Lytechinus pictus: one gene and its partners. The protein of the gene in region 3 purifies or fractionates together with the protein of the main gene of each other region. This does not show direct contact. Links are inferred from orthologs where the notes say so. Each region holds a gene or a part of one and is shown on either strand. Other genes may lie near its edges.

The links.
Region 1: the proteins of kinesin-like protein KIF23 (region 3) and ADP-ribosylation factor 6 purify together in Homo sapiens (affinity purification with western blotting; 3 studies listed by BioGRID and IntAct, with this or other methods). This does not show direct contact. The link is inferred for Lytechinus pictus from reciprocal best matches to the Homo sapiens genes KIF23 and ARF6.
Region 2: the proteins of kinesin-like protein KIF23 (region 3) and protein ECT2-like purify together in Homo sapiens (co-immunoprecipitation; 3 studies listed by BioGRID and IntAct, with this or other methods). This does not show direct contact. The link is inferred for Lytechinus pictus from reciprocal best matches to the Homo sapiens genes KIF23 and ECT2.

Annotation. Positions count from the first base shown.
Region 1 is NC_087250.1:26,846,884-26,853,939, forward strand, and holds the start of ADP-ribosylation factor 6, read right to left. Parts: upstream 3,109-7,056; 5' UTR 2,455-3,108; intron 1-2,454. UniProt on the Homo sapiens protein: GTP-binding protein involved in protein trafficking that regulates endocytic recycling and cytoskeleton remodeling. GTP-bound form plays an important role in the transport of multiple palmitoylated proteins form the Golgi to the plasma membrane.
Region 2 is NC_087260.1:15,023,043-15,030,200, reverse strand, and holds the start of protein ECT2-like, read right to left. Parts: upstream 3,089-7,158; 5' UTR 2,977-3,088; exon of another isoform or gene 2,619-2,976; intron 1-2,618. UniProt on the Homo sapiens protein: Guanine nucleotide exchange factor (GEF) that catalyzes the exchange of GDP for GTP. Promotes guanine nucleotide exchange on the Rho family members of small GTPases, like RHOA, RHOC, RAC1 and CDC42.
Region 3 is NC_087247.1:11,418,594-11,426,478, forward strand, and holds the start of kinesin-like protein KIF23, read right to left. Parts: upstream 3,032-7,885; 5' UTR 2,847-3,031; coding exon 2,836-2,846; intron 968-2,835; coding exon 904-967; intron 1-903. Other genes in the region: telomerase protein component 1-like, read left to right, coding at 4,426-5,121, 5,494-5,628, 7,208-7,369, 7,882-7,885.

The DNA of each region.
Region 1 (7,056 bases), on a different chromosome or scaffold from region 3:
GTCCATAGCGTGGGTCATCGCAGATAATGTGCGCCATCATGGAGCGAGTCAAGCCCATTATATTAAGCATAATAAGTAACCTCAGGTTTGGCTGATTTAAATCACGATTCAAATCACCATGATTTTTTTTTTAATCATTGATTTAAATCACTTCCATTGAAACATGTACAAATTATTGACTTTTTTTGTTGAAGCAGTTTGTTGAAGCAGTTTTATTTTTTTTCACTCAAAAGAAAAAGATTTATAAACTTTATATCAAAACATGAACAAATCCTTCATATTTACTCAGAGCAATTGACATCAAGTCAATAAGATCTGGGCCCGTTGCAGAAAGAGCTACGATCAAACGCAACTAAAAAAATCTTGCGCAACTTGATTTTCAGTCAATGAAGCACCTGTACTCGGGACTTGTGTTTAAACGCAACTCTTTCTGCAACAGGCCCCAGGTCGCAACTCTTTCTGCAACGGGCCCCTGATCTTATTGACTGGTTAATCTTTCAAAACTAAAGATGTACTACGTAGTGGTCAACACTTAAGACCCCCACTCCACTTTAAAGTAGACTTTAATAGTTACATTTTCCCCGTAAACTTTTTCTTTTCTTGATAGTAAACAAAGTTCTTGTATCTTTATGTAAAAATCCAAGTCTTTTAGAGGACAGTTTTTAAGAAAATATAAGAGTAAGAAAAGGGTTATTGGCAGTAAGTTCTATTCTGATCATTCACAATAGCAAACTGCACTTCAGAACCAAAAATATGTAGAGGAAATTATAAAAGAAACCCTGAACTTAGAACATACATGTATAAGGCATGAATTCCATCAGAAATGTTTGCCACGATGGGTTCGACTCAAGGCCTGTTCAGACTTTCTGTATACAATCGTGCTTCATTCAGCTGAGTACAATGAGGAAGGTCCAGTAATCAATGTATTACAAATGTAAGCATGCTCTTGGTATAGGACACTAAATCATGGCAACATACATACATTTATAGCGCCCTATGCCAAAAGTGAGCATTTATTTTTGTACATTTCTCAGTGAATGTGTTGAATTGAGTGCAATAATACATAGACATGCAAAATCTATGTTTATTCACAAGATACAAGACCTTAAAATTCCTTTTTAAATGCCACATCAAAATTATGTTAGTAAAAAGATGTAAACGAAGTAGGTTATTTGGAGCAGTCTTTCCTCTTTTTATACCAAAATCATTAAATTTGGACGACGCCCAACACTAAACAGGATCAGGCAAGATTTCCATATGCACCCCCCACTAAAATTGAAAATAAAAACATGGAGAAGATTCAAAATAATATCTCTGACCTAATATACAACATATATAATGGGGGAGTGGAAATACATACCAAAATATGGCTTTATTCTGTCAAATTTCGCGCAGGATCTAGTGCGTGTAATTGTCCAGACATCGGTTTATTTTTAGTCAGTAAAGGGTCTATGAGTGACTGTGAGTTAAGACTACATGTAGTCGAACTATCAGCTGATAATTGTTAAAATACCCCTTCCGGTATCAGCGCTTTTCGCTAGCATAGCGGGAAGAGGTCTTGACTGCAGATAAAACGAGGTGAGTTCGAGTCCCAACTAAGTTTTGTAAGTAAGGTATCTTCATGTATAAAGCAACAGTAAAAAAATAATAGAAAAATCTGAAGTGAACAAACTTTAAGTCTCGACAATCTTTTGTTAGTTTTGGTGGGGGGTGCATAGATAACTCTTTCCCAGGATCATATGTCAGAAATGCATTGAACTTTGATTTTTCCCTCAAAACCATGACAATTTTTGGCTGTGTGAATGCGGTGAAAAGGGCGATTTTTTTTGCTCTGTGACGTGTGCAGTCACCCTACCATGACTACTAACTACTACTACTAGTACTACTAGTAGTACTACAGCCTGTAATACCAGTGGGAAGATCTCAATTTTCTTCTGACCACCACCTCTAAATTCAATCTAATGGCTGCTCGATCTAGTATTGTATTTCTAATTTCTAATAATAAAGTTAACGACAGAACATTGACTTTTGTCTTTAATTAAATTAAGTTGAAAGTTTATGGCAATATGGGACGGTCTACGAGTACAACTACGGTACGGCCGGGTCTGGTTTTCAAATTACACTTGCGTTAAGTTGCATGCGGCCTTGCGGGTAACAACACTACTTTAGTCTAGACTTAATTCATGTTATTTCTTGAATACTGTATCACGAAAACGTGTGGGGTTTAGCCGAAGTGCGTGCATTAAAAATCGCACGCATCAATGAGGGAGATGACTTATCACACAGCTCACCTTATTCACACACACAGCTCACGTCACCCGACGTCTCTGTAACTTTCAGTACACGAACGTGCCGCAAGCATACACTACCGACTTCCGGGAATAAAATAAGTCCCTAATTCAATCACCAACATTCATCAAACGCTTAATAGAACATAAATTACGTCTTATTTACCTCAAATGTCCTTAAGCGAAACATTGTGACGACGATGGACAAGAGTCGAATGCAGAAAAAGTAACGTTTGACACTTTCTTTTCATTCATCGAGCACGGGAAGTAAATTATACGCGCGCGGTGAGTGAAACCGCAGTACAAAGCATAATATTTGAGCGATTAAAAATAAAGTTCTCATTGAAGCTGAGATATTTTGCATTATTTCCTGAATTAAAGTAGATTATGTGAGTTTATATTCATAATAAAAATAACAACTTAACTTATATTTTTTATTGTTGGAGCAAAGAAACAAATTTTCATGAAATCTTTAAAAAGTACATGAATACATATCAGCTTTGAAGTGAATTGTCATGGGCGTGGTGACGTTATCAACAGGCTCGTTCCAAAATTATTGGTAAAATGTAAGTCCCACATGTTGAGAATTGTGTATTTAATTGATAAGAAATTCATTATTAGGATTTTTTCGCAATTATTTTATGCTAAAAAGTTTACAAATTGTCTACATTCTGAAGCATGAAGTAAGGATATTTTGCAAATAAGCTCCGATATTTGTAATTTTGAGCGTTTGATTAAATCCGATTCATGGCGGGAATTCCCCCTCAAAGACGACGCAGGCGCAGGTACAGGTGTACGTATATGTGCACTTCCCAAGTATGTGAAAGAGAGGGGAACAAGGCCAAAGCTCCTTCAACTTCAAGTTTGCCTTGGGATAGATATGGAAGGAGTGGAATGAGGAAGGGGAATGGCATCGGTGGCACCGCGAGAGGACGGACGTGAGGGTTATCCCCCCTTCCGTCAGGAGCACTTCCCCTCCCACAGAAATTCTGAAAACTGAAATGTAAATCCGCCTCTGATGCACCCCCCACACACTACCACATAAAAATGTAGTGGGAAATATAGACACTATTGCCTATTATTTGTATTTGCCCTCTATTTTCGAAATCCCACTGCCGCCACTGGGAAGAAAGAGTAGGGGAAAAAGACTGTCCTTATATACGTGTAACTCTCTCTCTGATGAGAAGTAATGGAGGAAATGCAAATTCAATCGATCATTGCTGTTTTTGTTTGTTTGTTGCTTATTTTCTTTTCTTCTTCTTCTTTCTTCCTTAATTGATTTATTGTCTCACTATAGAACGCCGGAACACTTTAAAAGCACGAGCTCTAATTCGTACATTTCTTGTAGGCCTACTTACCTGAAGATAATTTTGTTCAAGTTGGCCAGCCGCTGAGGTGCATGGCATATAAACAATGCGAACCTTTTATATATAGCGGTGCATGGCATATAATTTAAGCTACGCATAATTTAAGCTACGCATACCATTGTTCTCTTCATCCATTTCTTTCACAATATATTATATATATATATATATATATATATAATATATTGTGAAAGAAATGGATGAAGAGAACAATGGTATATATATATAATATATTGTGAAAGAAATGGATGAAGAGAACAATGGTATGCGTAGCTTAAATTAAGGTTCCCCAGAGCTATCTGCCCTTTTGGAAAAATTGGCAATGCCGAAAAAATGTATCTGCCGGGAATCGAACCCGGGCCCCCAGCTTTGAACGCCGGTGCCTTAACCACTATAGACCACCGGCATGCAGAGACGGGTCAGTGGCTAGGGCGACCCCGATCCGATTGAACGTCAAATAGACAGATTTTCGACACCATACCAATTATAATTTCCTTTGTTGGGTGAATATATATATATATATATATATATATATATATATAGGCCTACATTTATGTTCAGCCCCATTTTCAAAACTATATAAAGGACAAGTCCAACCCAACAAAATGCAACTAAAAGATGATTTGAATAAAAAAGAAAAAAATAATCCAACCAGCATAAAACCGAAAATTTCATCAAAATCAGATGTAAATGAGAAAATTGTGACGTTTTCAACTTTTGCTAAAGTTTCGCAACACAGTGATAGTATGCAAATAAAGGGACTGATGATGTCACCCGCTCACGATTTTTTTTTTCATTGTTTGAAATATTCTTCTCCTTTATAATTCTCCTGTGAAACACACCCTGAACATTTACAATTATATGACTCAGCCAAGATGGTAATTAATTATTGTAAAATCTCTAAAAAAATGAAATATTGTACGATTCAAACAATATAAACGAAATAGTGAGGGACATCATCGACTCACTAATTTGCCTGTCAATGATTTGTGCATAATAACTGTTCTGTGAAAGATAAGCAAAACCTTAAAATGTCTTAAATTTCTTACTTACATCTGATTTTTTTGTTAAGCGTTATTCTTATTAGATATTTCTCGATTGATTCAAATCGAAAATTTTCTGGGGTGGATTTGACCTTTGAATAAAATGCGTATAAGAAAATAATGGAAACTCGAATAGCGAACAGAAAAATTTGTGCACATTAATTTGATAATGGGTTATTGCAAGCCCATAATACTCTTGTTATTTCTTTTAATAGGCAACATTGCGAAATCGCATTTTTTTAAACCTTTATATCAGTACTTCTGACCTGAAACTTATCCCTTTTTTCAATTATTCCCCTCTCCTTATATTTTATTCGATTCTATTACTCCTCCGATCTTACGTTCTTCTTAATTTCTCTATTATTTACCTCGGTACCTCATTGCGCTGCCAGTAGGGCAAGGCACCGTTGCCCGCTTCATTACCCGATCACCGAATCAGCCTATGCCCCCCCCCCCCCACGGCATATTGGGAATTTGTGTAAAAATGTGATATGAATTCGCGCTTATGGAGAATTGAAAAATAATCTTGGGTATTAAACAAACTTAAATTCACTGAGGACTATCATGGCTTATGAAACTAATAATTGATTTACTAAGTAAGCCTATATATAGGCCTACACAAACAATAAAAAAGCCATTCCTATATTTCAAATAAATTTAGATCGGAGAAACTGAAAAATGAAAGGGTTTACAAAATATATATGATGGTTCAAGGTACGAAAATTTTTCAGTTATGAAATTGACACATTCAGACAATCGGTGTAATAACAGACTATCGGTGTAATAACAGACTAAATTGGGCGTTTAGGCAATCAATAGTTAGAGGGTGGGTTAAAGGGGAGGGGGGCATTTTCACAATGGGATATTTTTTTACCGTAATTTAGTTTTAGTCTTTGCATTTTTTCTTGTAATGCACTCGATTAAGTATTGTGTATTTACAGTGTATATTATTTTTTATAATATGTATTTACGTTGCAATTAAAGGACCCCATGGAAGAATAGCGGCATTATGTTAATACCGCTGAAATGGGCGATCCTCCATATTTTATTTGACGATTTTCTTTTTCTTTTTGTAATTTGATCATGTATATATATTTTGTTTTATATGGAAATAAATACAGACAAGAAAAGTGCCTTGAATTAGTCGTTGTCATGATGAACACGATGTATATCTAATTTTTAAAAAAATGCGAGCTCGAAGCGCGGGCTTAAATTTTTGTACAATGAAATTATGAAAAAGAGACATCTTCCATGTCTTCAGTTGTAAGCTGAAAATGTATTTATTGATCTGTTAATGACGGTTTCCAGTGACTCATAAAAATGATATTGTCACCAGTCATAATAATGCGAACGCAAAGTGCGAGCAGTATAATAAACTTTGAGCACTTTTTGTCAAAATGAACATAATTATGCTATCTAACCAAACAATAAAGTGCAAGCTTAAGATTTTCATTTTCAGACTGAAAAACTTTGCTTCTCGTGGTTATTAAGATGATACTAAACTATATTTAGCGCGAGCTGAAAATTTTAGATTTCCCGAATTTTAAACCCGAAATTTTTTGCACTTTATGAAAAGAATAGGTATAATAGGGCCTATCTATACGAACTGAAAATTTAAAAGTTTTTGACTTTTAATCTGGAAATTGTTAGCATTTTTTTACCATGTACAGAATAGATGAACAGAACTGATGCGAGCAAGAAACGTGAGTTTTAATTTTTCATTTTCCGACGAGAAAACTGGAAATGTACTTTTTGTAATAATTAGAAGTATAATTTATGAAGAGCTCACTTGCAAAAGGGGTTCATCATCATCATCATCATGTTACGAGGTGAGGTAATCCTGTTGACCTCGATCTCTTCATCTGAAATTGCAGTCCATCTCCATACGATGTGTTATTACATAAGAACAAAAACTTGCACACGTGGAGGGTAGAGACGGTTTTGATCATTGGAGATTGAAACGCTCAGACCATTTTTCAGGTCCATTTTTCATCAAATTTGATATTTTGTCTCAATGTATAGATTTTTAGTAGCTCTATAAGATGATACCAAAGAAGAGTTGAAATTCTCATTAAAAAGTGATCTAAAATGGCAAAGAAAAATCACTTTTTTTTCAAAAAGGGGTTAGGTCCATTTCAGTTTGGCTGCAAAAGGGGTTAGGTCCACACAGTATTTTTTGGAAAAGAATATTTTAAAAATATGAAGACAGGTAGATTTTTTTTATACCCAATGTTATGTTCTCATGGTAGGGTATCATGAAAATTTAGTTTCGCATAAGAATATTGCAATATGGGAGAATAAAAAAAACTTGATTTTCTTGGAGTGGACCTAACCCCTTTTGAAAACAATTTATTTTGAAAA
Region 2 (7,158 bases), on a different chromosome or scaffold from region 3:
TAGAAAGTCATAGAAATTCTTATTTTTTCCCGTTCCAGAGACCCTCAAATTTGTGGTTTCTCGTTCCAGTGTGCGCCCATCATGAACTACTCAGCCGGTCAGGACGGCGAACTCGATCGACGAGGAGTCATGTGAGTTTAATGTGGTCAGTTCCGGAGCAATGCATTTTTAGCTATTTTATTGATTCAAGGGCAGTTCCGGAGACCCCCATTTTATTTTTAAAGGCCAACATTTAGTTCAAGAGCCCCATGTTTTTTACTTTGGTGTGGCACACTATTATCATGTTTCGAATAGCCCCCCGGTAGACACCATCTATTCATATCACCCATTTTATCTGCCATTTATTTAGTACTGTAGATCTAAATGCTGGTATTCAGAATGCTCTCACTCATAGTCAGTCACACAATACACTAAGTGACTAACCCAGGGAGCTCCGGCCCGCGAAGCGGGCGGGAGCCCAGGAGTCGTCCATGTAATACTAGTCAAACATATACTCTCCAAAATGGGGTCTGAATAGCACTTCAAATAAAAGGGGAAAAAATAAATTATGCACTTACCTCGATTATATGGATGAAGGTCTATCGTGACACAGCTATCCTGACATCGAGGCACAAACTGGACCCTCAAAAAAAGGAAAAGTTGTTTCTCGTTCGTTTTCCTTCTGTCAAAATTAAAATCAATATGGCCGATCGATACCAAAACGAACGGGACATAGACGTCTAACTTTTTCTTTTTTTGAGGGTCCAGTTTGTGCCTCGATGTCCGGATAGCTGTGTCACGATAGACCTTCATCCATATTATAATCGAGGTACAGGTAAGTGCATAATTTACTTTTCCCCTTTTATTTGAAGTGCTATTCCGACCCCATTTTGGAGAGTATATATGTTTGACTAGTATTACACGGACTTCTCCTGGTCTTGTGGGGACTAAGACAGCTGGCAGCCGTCTGTTTCGAGGAGTTTTTAAACATTTTTTTATTTTTTTAAATTTCTCCTTGTACACAGACGGCTCGCTATCGTGCAGCCACCATTAGGGGACTTACAATGCAAAATCCCCCCGACGGGGCTCATCGATTTTTGTCTTTATTTCATAAAAGTATTGAAAAAGAATTGTAATTTGTACCAAATAAAAATAGAGATTATTCTGTTTTTTGACATACTTCGGCTGTCGCGCAACTTCACTTCCTTGTTTTATCCGAACTTAAGTACATAAACATATGCCATGGCCATTGACTCGATTGAGTCCCCTGTACTGGCTGTACAGATCGCGCTAGAACTTCGGTCTCTGTATTTGGTGAGTGGAGCCAACGGATCGAGTTCAGCGGAACAACCAACATAACACTACAGAGACCGAAGCTTTTGGTCTAACTTGTAATGTTAGTGGGGACTACACGAACCATCGCCTGGGTTGAGGTAATTCACGGTTATTGTTGACTTGTCTTTCTTTGTCGGACGTAGTGATTTCCAATTTGATTTTAGAACAAGAAGCTTAATAACTTATTAGGGTGTCTGGAGAAATTTTTTTTTTTCTTATTTCAAGAAAATATCACATTTTCTTTGTGAATTTGAAGAGAAATGACCTTCAGACTGACAGAAATGTAACATTTTTGAAAAAAATCCAATTATTGGCTGCAAAAAAGAAGAATGAAATTAGGTAAATTTTCAGCATTTCTCTGCCATAGACTGTGTAGTTAAGAAATGGACACACACAAATCCAAATTTTTAGCTTCCGAGAGCTGTTATAAATTTATTATTAATGCCAAAAACTTGTCCATAAAGAGTCCAATAGGATTTTTTATGCTCTATCTGATGGTATGATTTTTATAAAGATTTGGAAACCAGATCACAATGAAAAATTGCGACAAAGTGAAAAAAATTGTGCAAAACAGAAATTTCATTTTCCCATAGAAAATGCATGGAGAAATGGCAATCTCTACACACACAAAAATAAGGGTTTGCAATTTATCTCTAAATCCTTATTTAAAATGATCATATAAACTTGTCCTTACTGTCAAAAGAAGCCCCTGAATTTTCTCTTTCCATACATGCCAAACACAAGTTAATAATCAATTCAGATCACATTTTTCTAGTAAGTAGTAGCCAACGGAGGCAGTGTAGCTCAGTCGGTTAGGGCGCCTGTTCCGGAAAAGATCGTAGATCTCAACGTGCGTGGGTTCGAGTCCCGCAGCATGCCGGAAGACGTCTAACAATAAAACTGATGCTAGCGTTGTGTGTTAGCGTGCCTCACCGCTGTGTTCAGTGCGGGTGTGAATGCAGTTGGAAAACACTCCGTCCATCGGAAAGGACGCAAATGTTGGTCCCGTGTATAGGAGAGTCACAACCTATGCACGTTAAAACCAATACACTCTTCGTCAAAGAGTAGGGTGTTCACCCGGTGTATTGCACCTGCCGGTCCCCGGTACTACAATACTGCAAGAATCTTCAGGATTGAAGGAGGCAGTGTAGCTTGAAGAAGAAGAACTTCCCCGAAAAAATGTGCCATATTTTCCCCTGAATTAGCCTGTTTTATGCCGACAGTGACACTTTTCAGTGTGGCTTCAGACACCCTAAACTTATAATACTTAGGGCCTATATAGGCCTACTTAATTAACTGCCTACCGATGCGATTTTCAATTTGATCCGATTTAAAACATTACAGCATTTGGCCTTCAAGTTCAGGCATCATGTTATCCAATTCCAAGTTTTAATCCCCAGTGCTCACGTTCATTCACATCATTCATGCCATGCCCATGGCGACGTTATTCCAACCACAATACACAAAAACAAACGACCGGTCCCACACGTAAAAAAAAAATCCAGATCAGATTCATTGCCACTTCATTCAGACAAACATCTGTGAAATAAGTGAACTAAAACTCATTTAAATTATGAATTACAAATGTATTTAACACTTATTCATCAGCCATCATAATGCATATTGGAAGAGTAAGACGTAAATGATAAAACAAAGACAAACCTGTCAATCGCCTTCAACTCTTTCCTTTGCACGCATCGATTGCTGCCATGTTTTCCGCATTCAAACTCGCCGCTAATCCCGAAATCAAGCGATTTGATTGGCTGATTACAAATGACTGCTCTTTATGCATGACGTACCGAATCGATGAGTCATAACAAAGACACGGGGCCCGAATTCACAAAGGTCGACTAAGCTCCTTGACTAAAGTTATACCGGGGTATAAAACGCGTCATTTGACGTCATTTTAATCCATGGACTAAAGTTAGCACCGGGGTATAACTCAACCATGGGTTAAATTTAACCCCGGGTGCTAAAGTTAGTCCATGGATTAGTTAGTCCACCGTTTGTGAATAGCGCAGTGGACTAACTTTATACCCGGGTGTTAGTTAACCCCCCACTAAATTTAACCCCGGTATAACTTTAGTCGACCTTTGTGAATACGGGCCACGGGGTGTGAAGTTTTATTCGCACTGTCATTCCAAATTTTAGGGGAAATATGAATGCTTCCATATCTTAATGTGAAACATAACTTGATTTTTCCAAGAACATCATCAACTCTCTCTGTGTAAAATTTCGCCCACGACCCCTGCGCTATACGACCATGATAACATTTTTTTTTACAAACTGACAAATCCAATATGTCATTTTACTTTATTTCAAATCTAATTTGGTTGAAAATTTTAGGCGTTATGCCTGCTTGGTTTTCTCTATTTATTCAAATCAACTTTTGGTCGGGGTAAACTTGACCTTAAAGGACTCAGCCAGCCCCCCCCCCCCCACCGGCCGTTGGAAAACGTTCAGTATACGGGAAGATAAAATAAAAATTTGACAAGCGAAAAACAAAAGAACAAAAGAAAATAGGTTTTCACCAAAAAATGAACTTCATTTCGCCTACGTAAAGTTTGAAAAGCAAAAAAAAAAAAAAAAAGGGTCCTCACTAAATATGTTTCAATGACATATTCCCATGCGGCTGTGACTTTCAAAAAGCTAGGGAGCCGGGGGCACGTATAAAAACGGCATATTTACATCAAAATTTTGATTATGGCTCTCAAGGGGGCGGGGGGGGGGGCACGGGCCAGATGTGCCCCCTGGATCCGCCACTGAGTCGGTATAATCGGGACAAGTCAATAATATACACCAAATATACAGTGCGTATAAAAAAAAACCGGGACAGATTTGAAAAGTCTATACATTTTTTGTTTCAAATTATGATGTCTATATTTTGGTGTTAATGGGTGCTCTGAAGTCTCATTTTTCAAATGCCATTAAAAAAAATAGTTTCGTTCATGCTTGAGCGAACACGGAATGTTTTTGTCTGGGGGCTAAAAAGGAGGCTTGCGCCAAAATGACATAAAATGATAAATATGATGATCGGACTTCTTGCTAATCAGCAGACTTTTCATTATCTTTGCCATAATTTTCGAATCATACGGTTAAAATTCATTTTCAAATCTTCATTTGCTTGAATAGTTCTGTTGTTGTTTCTTTCAATATGTTCTCTTTTAGCTTTCAATATTCCTTCTTAAAGGTATTGTTTAACTTTGTGAGCAGCCGATTTAAAAAATTCTCAAACCAAGATGAAACATGTGTACAAGTGCATGTATTAGAACTAATAAACCCTGAAAACAACCATTATTGAGAATGAAAAGCTAAAACTACAAGGCAAACCCCGATTTTGTAAAAAGGCGTCTACAAGACGCCTAAATAGTACACATAAGTGTATGGGATGAAATTAAGATGGTGTTTTCGGTCACTTTATATTTCAATTTTTGAAGCACTAAATAATTATTTTCGAACGCAATTTTTTCTGGGCTTCATTTTTGTAACATATCACACACACAGGTGACAAGTGTGACCTTCTAGCTCAGATTTTTAAAAAGTCAAACCAATGTTAACCAATCACTCTAAAGCAAAAACAAAAAATTTTCAACCGAAGTATGGAAGAGCGTATACATTTTTTCAAAAATCCTTTTATTGTGTGCTACAAAGGTTATGGTGCCTTTGAACAGTGGCATACAGATGGGCGGGGGCTCGGGGTGTTCCCCCCAATAAAAAAAGTGGAAAGGAAATAAAAGTAAAGATAGAAAGTGAAATATGATTTATTTTCTGAATATTATGTCAAAATCTATCACAAAATTTGATATTTTAATAAAAAAGTGGAAATTTTTGCTTGCTCGCTTCGCTCGCTCACATTTTTATTTGCATTTTATCCGATCTGCCATATCTAGCTCATTCAAAATTGACTCAATACACCATTGCCATTGAAAGACATGAATTATTTCCTGTTTGTCCTGTCAAGCACACAATTAAACTTGCTCAAACCACTTGAAAATAGGATTCATGTTTTTTTAGGTACCATAACATAATTTGTTTCACATAATAAATACAATTTGAATAATTACAAGTTATCACAATTAATAATGCAAATATTCTTGCATTGGTTGACAAAAAGTCTTCTTTTCTTTATTAATGAAGGAAAATTCAAATGTTAAAAAAAAAATAATGAAAAAGCAAAATAATTCAAGTAAATAGATAAATTTTTAAATGAAATTTGACAGCATAGTTCAAAAATCATAGCAAAGATAATGAAAAGGTTAAGAGGAAGTTTGCTGATTAGCAAGAAGTCTTATCATCAAATTTTTCATTTCTGCCATTTTGGCACAAGCCTCTTTTTGAACCCCCGACAAAAAAGGTCCCGTGTTCGCTCAAGCATGAACAAAATTTATTTTTTTTTAATGGCATTTCAAAGATAAGATTTCAGAGCATCTATTAACATCAAAATATAGATATCATAATTTTTTATAGACTTTTCAAAACTGTCCCGTTTTTTTATACGCACTGTATATTTCCTCGCACTTCGAGTTGCAGTGACATATGCCGTTTATCATGTCTACACACTTAAAATGATTGCCACCTCAATATAAAACAATTCTAGTACGTGCTTACGTTTGCATTAGTGGATTGGTGAGATATGTCTGCTTTTTATGAATTCCTAAAAATAGTCCTTAAAATGTTCCTTTTTCTGGTCTGAATATAAAAAAAAAATCAGTTCGCGCTTCGCGCTCGCAATATTTGATCAGTGAGGTACGTATCATGTTCATGATAATGACTACAACAAGTGCCTCATGTGTTTAGGTGTAAACAAATCAGCAAGCGATTGGCGCTTGCATTAGATGACCATGTATGCTCTTCATGAATTCCTCATGAAGCCCTTAAAATGTCCCTGTTTCAAGTGGTCAATATATACATAAAATGTCAACTCGCGCTTCGCGCTCGCATTGCTTGTTTTGTGAGACATGTACGTATCATGATTACAAAAATGTGCTTATAATGCTCCCTTTTTACGTTTGAAAATTTTTCAGCTCGCGCTTCGCTCTCGCATCGTTTGGTTAGTGAAATACGTATGGTCTTAGTGAATTGCTACAAACAAGCCTTAGAATGCTCCTCTTCAGGTCTGAATATCAAAAATTTTCAGCTCGCACTTCGCGCTTGCATTATTTGATCAGTTAGATACATATCCGTTTAAAATATCTCTGTTAGGTCAGTATACGTGGCAATTGAGCGCGCTTCGCGCGCCCACTTAGTGACTCAATTTTTTGATGGTGCTCCCCAATGCCGTGACCACCCCCCCAAAAAAGAGAGAAATTTGCTGGAAATCGTGGCACTATTAAACTCATTTAAAAGTCTTTTTGAATAAATATGTTTTCAAAGTGGATTTAAACTTGGGTGGAGAAGAGTTCTTTACATATGATGGAGTGTATTCCAAAGTGAAGGGGCAGCATGGGCAAAGGATCGTTCTCCATAAAACTTGGTCTGAACACAAGGACAATTTAAAAGATCCTTCTGAGCTGATCGAAGATTACGAGATGGCACATACTTAACTAAACAATCAATAAGATATTTTGGAGCCATTGCATGGAGGCACTGATAAGTTACCCCTTTTTACAAGCAGTACTTTAAACATTACACGCGACTGGACTGGGAGCCAATGTAGTAATTTTAAGACAGGTGTGATGTGGGAATGTTTTATATTACGGGTGACTAGTCGTGCTGCAGAGTTTTGAATTACTTGTAATTTGTTTATTTGGAAATCGGGCATCCTATATAGAGTAAACTATTGCAATAATCTAAATGACATATTACATGAGCCTGGACAGGCTGCTTGGTAGTCTTTGCATCTAA
Region 3 (7,885 bases):
CTCAGAATACCAATTTCATTATAAGAGATAAAATAAAATATTTTAAAGATAAAATGACCTCAGAATACCGCCCCAGTGCTTTATATTATATTTAAATAGCTTAGCCATCCTCATCATCTGTTTCATCTACTTTCCTGCGGAGCACTACATATATGGAACAAATATATAGTTAGTAATTTTCACTGACAACTGTTAAAAACCACTGAAATTATTGCAACTAATTGGCTCAGAAAAAGAAGCGTTGTTATGTAAAACAACCCTAAAAAGCACCGACAAGGTGCTTCATTAAACATTCAGCTGATCTCAAATTAACTAGTACTTCAGAATCTTAAAGGTGCACCAATCAACCAAGATAAATCCGGAAGACAATGTCAATGATACTGGGTATATTATACAATAAAGTAAACTAGTCAGGAAGACATGACAAAATGGCAAGATTCTGCATCTTGTTAATCAAGGCCGTGTAACATAGTGCACAGCAATTAATTTGAGGCCCATGTCTATGATTGTATGCATTTATAATCGTGTATCATCAATAATAAAAACTCAGGTGAATCACAATCAATCGCGATCACTAGGCTTTATTTTACAGGGCCCAGACTTGACAAGGATGGGAAGGCAAGAAGGCATCCTCATCAAGTTGACTTTTTGTCTTCTTGTCAGACAAAGTTGACTTGACGAGAAAATTGATATTGACTTTTTACCTGTTTCAACCAGAGAATAATAGATTTGGTCCACTGAATCTAATGTTCTCTGGTTGAAACAGGTAAACAGGTAGTCAACGAATTGTGACTGGTACTGTACATGTACTTCCCATCAAGTTCACTCGATAAGACACAACACGAAATTTTCATCCTGAATTATTTTGTCATCTCCGATCACTTTTCACCTTCCGTATCTTACCTCTACTGGGTCCTTAGCACAGCTAGGGGGCTTCCGAGGTGTCTTCTTAGGGGTCTTGCCTCGTCTAAAAAAAAACATGAAATGATACAAGAAATTATATTACATTTTTGTCCCATGGCACTGGGCTCAGCAGCCAATCAAAATCAAGGTTACCATGGTAGTTGTCATAATGGCAAAGTTACAACAGTTGTAACTTTTTATGAAACGTGGGGCCCCCAATGGGAAGGTTAGGAAAAAAAAATATTACTTTTTATTTCATTGAAGTATCTTTCGTATACAGTTAATCTTCTATGATAGCAGCAAAATCACATCGATACATAGGAAGATGTCTAAATATGTCAACCCTCAGATGCACAAGGTTACAAATACAATTTTACATCCTTGTTTGATTGAAAGAAAGGAAGACAGGAAGGAAAGAAGGAAGACAGAAAGCCAAAAAGAAAGAGAAGCAATAAAAGGAATTTAAAAAAGAAAGGAAAGAAAGAAAGAAAAAAAAAGAATGAATTACACCTTAGTTCTATTACGGTACTTTTGTATGAATTGACAGAGTAAAAATGAGGAGCAATAAAAGGAATTTTAAAAAAAGATAAAAGGAAGGAAGAAAGAAGGAAAGAAAGAAAAAATAAAAGCTTCAGGGGAAAGAAATAAAAGAAATAAGAATGAAGAAAGGTAGAAAGATTTAAAAACAAATCAATAATGTATGACATGATGATGCATGTTGAACATCATGTTATAAAACTAGTTCAACTTAAATTAAAGGAAGAGAAAAACATGATTGATAAAATGGGTGAAAAGATGAGTGCAAACGAAGCGACGCTGCATTGGATGTAGACCAAAAGCTTTGGTCTCTGTTATGTTGGTTGTTCCGTTGAACTCCATTGGCTCCACTCACCAAATACAGAGACCGAAGTTCTAGCGCGATCTGTACAGGGGACTCAATGGCCATATGTTTATGTATTAAGTTCGGATAAAACAGGGAAGTGAAGTTGCGCGACAGCCGAAGTAAGTCACCATGGTCACTGTTTTTTCCCCTTTTAAGTTTATTTTTCCCAGTTTTGGTGCATTTCAGGCCAAAACGGAAACATCTTTATCTTGGTACAGTTCTTTTTATATATTTTTATGAAATAAAGACAAAATTCGATGAGCCCAATCGGGGGGATTTTGCATTGTTAATCCCCTAATGGTGGCTGGAGCCGTCTGTGTACGAGGAGAAATTAACAATAAATAAAAATGTTAAAAAACTACTCGAAACAGACGGCTGCCAGCTGTTAACATTGGATGACACTTCACACGATGTGAACTAAAATTAAAAATTAAGTCTTGACAAAGAACAAAATTAAGGCAATGACTCAAAGCCAAAAAAATAAAAAATAAAAACTCAAAGTTTCAAACAAAAGTCAAAATCCAACTTCGATTGACCAAACATGAAACAAAAATGTAAAGCCAAAGCCGGCCCAAGGCAAAGGTAAAGCCAAGCCCACTCATCCTACGAACGAGGTTATAATGGCCAAGCCCAAAGCAACACAACGATAAAAAGCACGAAGTAAATTACTGACTAAACATGCTAAAAATAAATATTCATTCACAGAATTATATAGGCAAGACAGTGGGTATTCTCTAACTTTAAGTCTTTAGTCTTGGCATTTTTCTTGCACAAAAATGGTTAAAACAGTATGGTATGCGTATGCATGGTCACCTGGGCCCCCGGGATTTGGCTCCTGTGCAATGCAAATTAGGGTAACACGGATTCGTGATAAATGAATTGGTCATTGTATGCATACGAGTTGCATACCGGTACGCCAGTAATGAAAATGGTCTAAAAAGAAAAATATTGTGTGGAAAATGACCGAGGGCTCGGTTCATACCTATACTTTAAATTATCCAGACCACCTTCGTCGTGACCATGTTTTTTATTCTTTGATAGTTACTTACGTTGGCTTCATGTTGGGATCCCTTGTCTAGTCAGAAATACAGCTATTTTGGTGATATCTTTGCTCAAATTCAGAAGAAAATCGGTCAGCCACAAAATGCATAAAAATCGTCTGCGCACAATATTGCATTCAAAAAGCGAGCGCGCTCGATCGATCGAAAGATCAAGAGCCAATCATCGTTGAAATTGCAAGAGTGTAGCCGGAGAGGGAGACATTTCAAAACACGGAGATTTCGCGAACTTGCATCATTGCTGATCCTTGCGTAGGCATGGTGCAAGACCATTGTCCCCTGAACTTCCGGGGACCTGCTCTATCGCGGTAAGGTACCGGGCTGGGCCAGGGGCGTGATCCTCGGCATACATGTAACTACAGTCTACAAGCTCAGCTCAGTCTTATGGCACTTGACAATGACAGACTTCGGAAATTACATTACATGATGTAGAGCGAGCAGAGACAGAGCTGTACGAGACACAGATGAAGCTCAGTTCAAATTGGAATTTGGAGTAAGGAAAGAGTGTCATGTCACTGCTTGTAGTAAAGAAGAGGTAATTTCATCAACTTCAAGGCAAGCCAAGTGTGTCTGAGTGAAATTAAGACTGAATACCGATTACCGGTAGTAGCGGTACTGAACCTTGTTTGACTGACTCACTGAGAGTGAGACACTTGAGTGAATTTCATTCCTGTAGACTGCTTCGAGAGTCAAGATGGTGTTTTGAATTTTGTCTTATTTTTTTTTATTTTATTGAGCAGGAGTAAGATAAGAAAAATAAGTAAGTTGAGGTTTGATTAAACAGGAGTTTCTCTTATTAAATTAACAGTTTCAGATGACAGTAAATATTTTACTAAAATATGTAGGCCTAGTAAAAAGTAGTAGATTGCTAGAATCTTTTAAAATGGCACTGTACATACTCCACAACACCAGACCTGTCAAATACAGTACAATAACTAGACGATGGACTGTACTTCATCAGAAGAAGAGGAAGAGAAGACTCCAGAGTCCAGGTATCTCCAAAGAAGCGGAGGGATCAGCTAAGAGAGAGGTTTCCCATTCCAGACCAATTTTACTTCCCACCTATGCATGAGCATGAGCGTGTCCAAAACTTTTCTGCATGCAAATCAGTTCATCAGATTTTGTGTGCGCTTCTGCGGGCAACTGTGTGTGAGATACAGGCGAGATAGCTACTGGCCAAATACTGTCAATAAGTTCAGAAATATATTTAGAAGAAATGATTTCCCAAAGGAATATTAAATCTCTCAATCAAAAGTGTGTTGTTTATAAATATCAGCATTTCAATGTCCGCAGAGCTCTTCTACCAATGATGCATTGCATTTGATGTGCAGATTTACTTGGAGTTGACTTTTAAAGATGGATGATATAAATTTCGGTTATATTTCACAAAACTTTAATCATTTAATTATTGCTTACTTGAATTTGAATCCTAAATTCGTACTACCATTCAGAAGTCTAATCAACAATTTATTGATTTTCTTTTTCAATCATCTGTTTCTCTTAAATGCAGAATAATTCATACTTATGAGTGAGGAAAAAATCAGCTTCTACTTTAGATATTAAATTTGTCGACTTGTCAAGATGAGTTACCTGTCAAACCCTCTGTTGACGGGTTCATTGTCGTCTGGTCTAACAGCAACAAAGCGAAAGGCAAGGGATGATGGCTGCAGTCAAGCGTCGGTCCCAAGCAAGCAGACGTCCACTGGAATGTCCCTCCAAAAAAGCAGCCTCTTTGGAAGCTCCCTGCTTGGTGGTGTCTCGAAGAAAGATGGCAAGTCCCAATTTAACCTGGGCATGAAGTCATCTAGTCTGGGCACCAAGTCCCCACTGATTGAAAACAAGCTGCTCTCTTCTGCAACAGCCAATACTGGTTTGCATAGTAAGCTTCAGGGCAGCTCTGGAAGATCCCTTCTAGCAGGCGGAAGCTTGCTATCGATGGGCAGCTCTCTCTCATCATCATCCTCTTTATCAGCCTCAGGGTACGGCAGCGTCTTGAAGGGTTCCCAGAAGACCCGCAGCTTGAGCCGTAGCAACAGCACCCAAGCCGAGGAGTCCAAGACCAAGAAGATCAAAGCACAGCATCTTCCAGAGCAGTCGAAGGAGGACAATGTCATTGACCCAACCCTTACCACGTGTGAGCTGCCAGACTACGATTTCTCACGACAGCTTCCAGTTGCAAAGCCAGCTGTGCAGGAATATGATCACCAGTTTGAGAAGCTGGACATGGCCAAAACTCTGACGACAAAGCCAGGGGAAAACTACTCAACAAAATTAAAGGTAGAGTATTAATTAAAAAATTCATCTATTCAACTTATCAGGCCAAGCTAAATACATTGTGTTTACTTTTTTTTTAAATGAGGCATCTAACTCATCTTATAAGAAAGATTCATAGTACATCTCCATTAGCAATCATGACTATACATTATGCATTCTATAAGATCATTTCTTGAAGCAATTTTGTCAATCATTTTGAGAAACAATATCAGATTGATTTAAAGAAATTTAAATTGTTAAGGGTTATTGTAATATCCTTCAACTTGCTTTGTATTTCATTCAACTGGAAATATACATGTTCATGTTATTTGTTTTGAAAAGTTATGAAATAGCTATGAAATAATGTAGCTTATTGCAAGTATTTTGATTCAACAGCAACAGTTCATCAATGCTGTTAGTGCCTCCCTGATCGGTGGCCCAAACTTTCATGAGCGTGGAGATAGCACAAGAAAGAATATCAACAGGCAGGCCACTTCCATCATCAATGAAGATCCTGAATTTATTCTAAAGGTGAGCAAAGAGAATTACTCCTGCAGAAGGATTCCAAATGTTTGGAGGGAAATTGAAGGGTGATACGACATTTTCTCCTGGGACGATTGCTCCGGGGCTTGATTTCGTCTAAGGTGTAGAGTTAGGGTTAGGGTTGCTATAGGGTTTTATGTTGGGTTTAGGTTAAGCTTAGGGTAGGGCATAGTGTTAAACCTTGGGTTGAAGTTGGTTATTCGATTAGTGTGTGGAATTTAGAGCGGAGCAATTGTCACCGGAGCGATGCCTTGATTTATATATTTCAACTTATTGTGACATTAGGCTGAAATTGTGAAAAAGAAGTATGGTAATCTATTTTTTAAAGATGTTTAGGAAGTGTCAACTGTCAAAGTATGAGGAATATAAGAATATGTTTTAGTGACAATTACCGTATGTTCTGTATCTGATTACTTAATATTTGCTTTTACAGAATGTTGTCATGTTTTTTATTATTTTTTTACTTTGATAGCTACATGCAGGAACTTTTTTATTTCATCTGATTGCATAACGCCAGGACATGGTTGCTTTAAACTGAGTATCTAAGTCAATTTTCCCCATTCAAAGCATGTATGTTTCAGATGATTCCATGTGTTGTAATGTGTACATAGCTGTGCATATTGCATTGGTTCACTTTTATGGCTGATGCAAGGCTTTGAAATACACTACACCCCTTAAATTGCAACCTTGATGTCAAAAGTTGTGCAAGGCTTGAATGCTGGGAATTGCCATTATAATAATTCTACCATCTTCAGGGAGCCTTTTTTTTTGTATTCAGTGATTTTAATGCGGAATGCTATTCATTGCCTATTATTGATTACGTTGATCTCCTAATTTATGAATGACCTCCCTGATATTGAAAATTTTCCTGATAAAATTGGCAGAATAACAGAATAGGTAATTGTTACAAGTATCAGATTACCCAATTAACACATCATTACACATTGCTGGGATTTGTTTTCTTCCTTGTACTACTTTCATGCAATGAATGTTAGGGCTATGATTTAAGTATGATTGGTCAAAACATGTCTTGTATCTAATAGTTACTGTCCGGTGACATAACATTGCTCGTGCGACATTTGCTCCATATTAGGGTTTATTTGGTTTTGGAGGTTAGAATTTATGATTGGCTTAATAATAATGTGCAGATTTTCCATCAGAGCAATTGTCGCCGGAGCAAATGTTATGGAACCTACTGTCCATGGTCTAATATTTGATGAACAATCTTAGAAATGCATATACTGTCTTTTAATATTTCTTGGGTTTTCCATATTTTTTTAGTTCAGACAATTTAAACGTGGCAATGAAGGTTATGATTGTATAGATATTTCAATTTATTGCCAATTATTTAACTGATAGAAACAAATGATACGCAGGCCTACTCACAGAGACTATCTTTGTTTTTCACAGATGACTTGCAACCTGAAGGTCATTCTGTATGTCATGAATAGGTTTTTATAAACTGCAAACATAAATGAAAAATGCTCACTCTTAAGAAAAAAAAAGAGTAGGCCTAATATTTATGTTCCAGTGTTAAATATAGTATGTGTCATTTGCCTTTAATCAGGTTGCACTGTATACGAGGAAGGAGTTGAATATACGTACCACAGCCAATTTCCTGCTAGCTCTTGCGGCCATGACCCCCGAGTGCCGACCTTTTCTCAGGAAGTATTTCAGCTCCAGCATTGCCCTGCCATCTGATTGGATAGATGTAGCAGAACTTTACCAGGTAATGATGAATTTGGAACAGATTTTTTCTTAATTTCGAAATCACAAACTGTCAACCAGTGTATAATACATTGATCTATTGGGAGGTTGGGAGGGAGAAAAATTGATATATGGATGGATAGATACATAGATGGGTGGATGGATGGATGGATAAATGGATAGATAGATATGTAGTGCATCTCTTGAAAAAACAGAACCAAGAATTATCTACGATTTATCATATCTTAATCACAAATACAATAGACACACGACCCACCATTGTAAAGCTTAGAGTCTCCTCTTCGAGCTGGTATAACTTTAGATAACTCTTTTTTCATGCATGAGTGAGTAAAAACAAAATTTTTGAAGAAAGGATACTAAAAGTCACTTGTTGGGCAGTATCTGAATTTCACAAAGAAAATCACTTGTCTAGAAAGTGTAATATCTACTCTTTAATGTGACACTTCAATCGAAGAAAGTGGTCAAGAAATGAATATGTAAAGACAAACTTATTGTTGATTTCTCTTCTTACAGACAT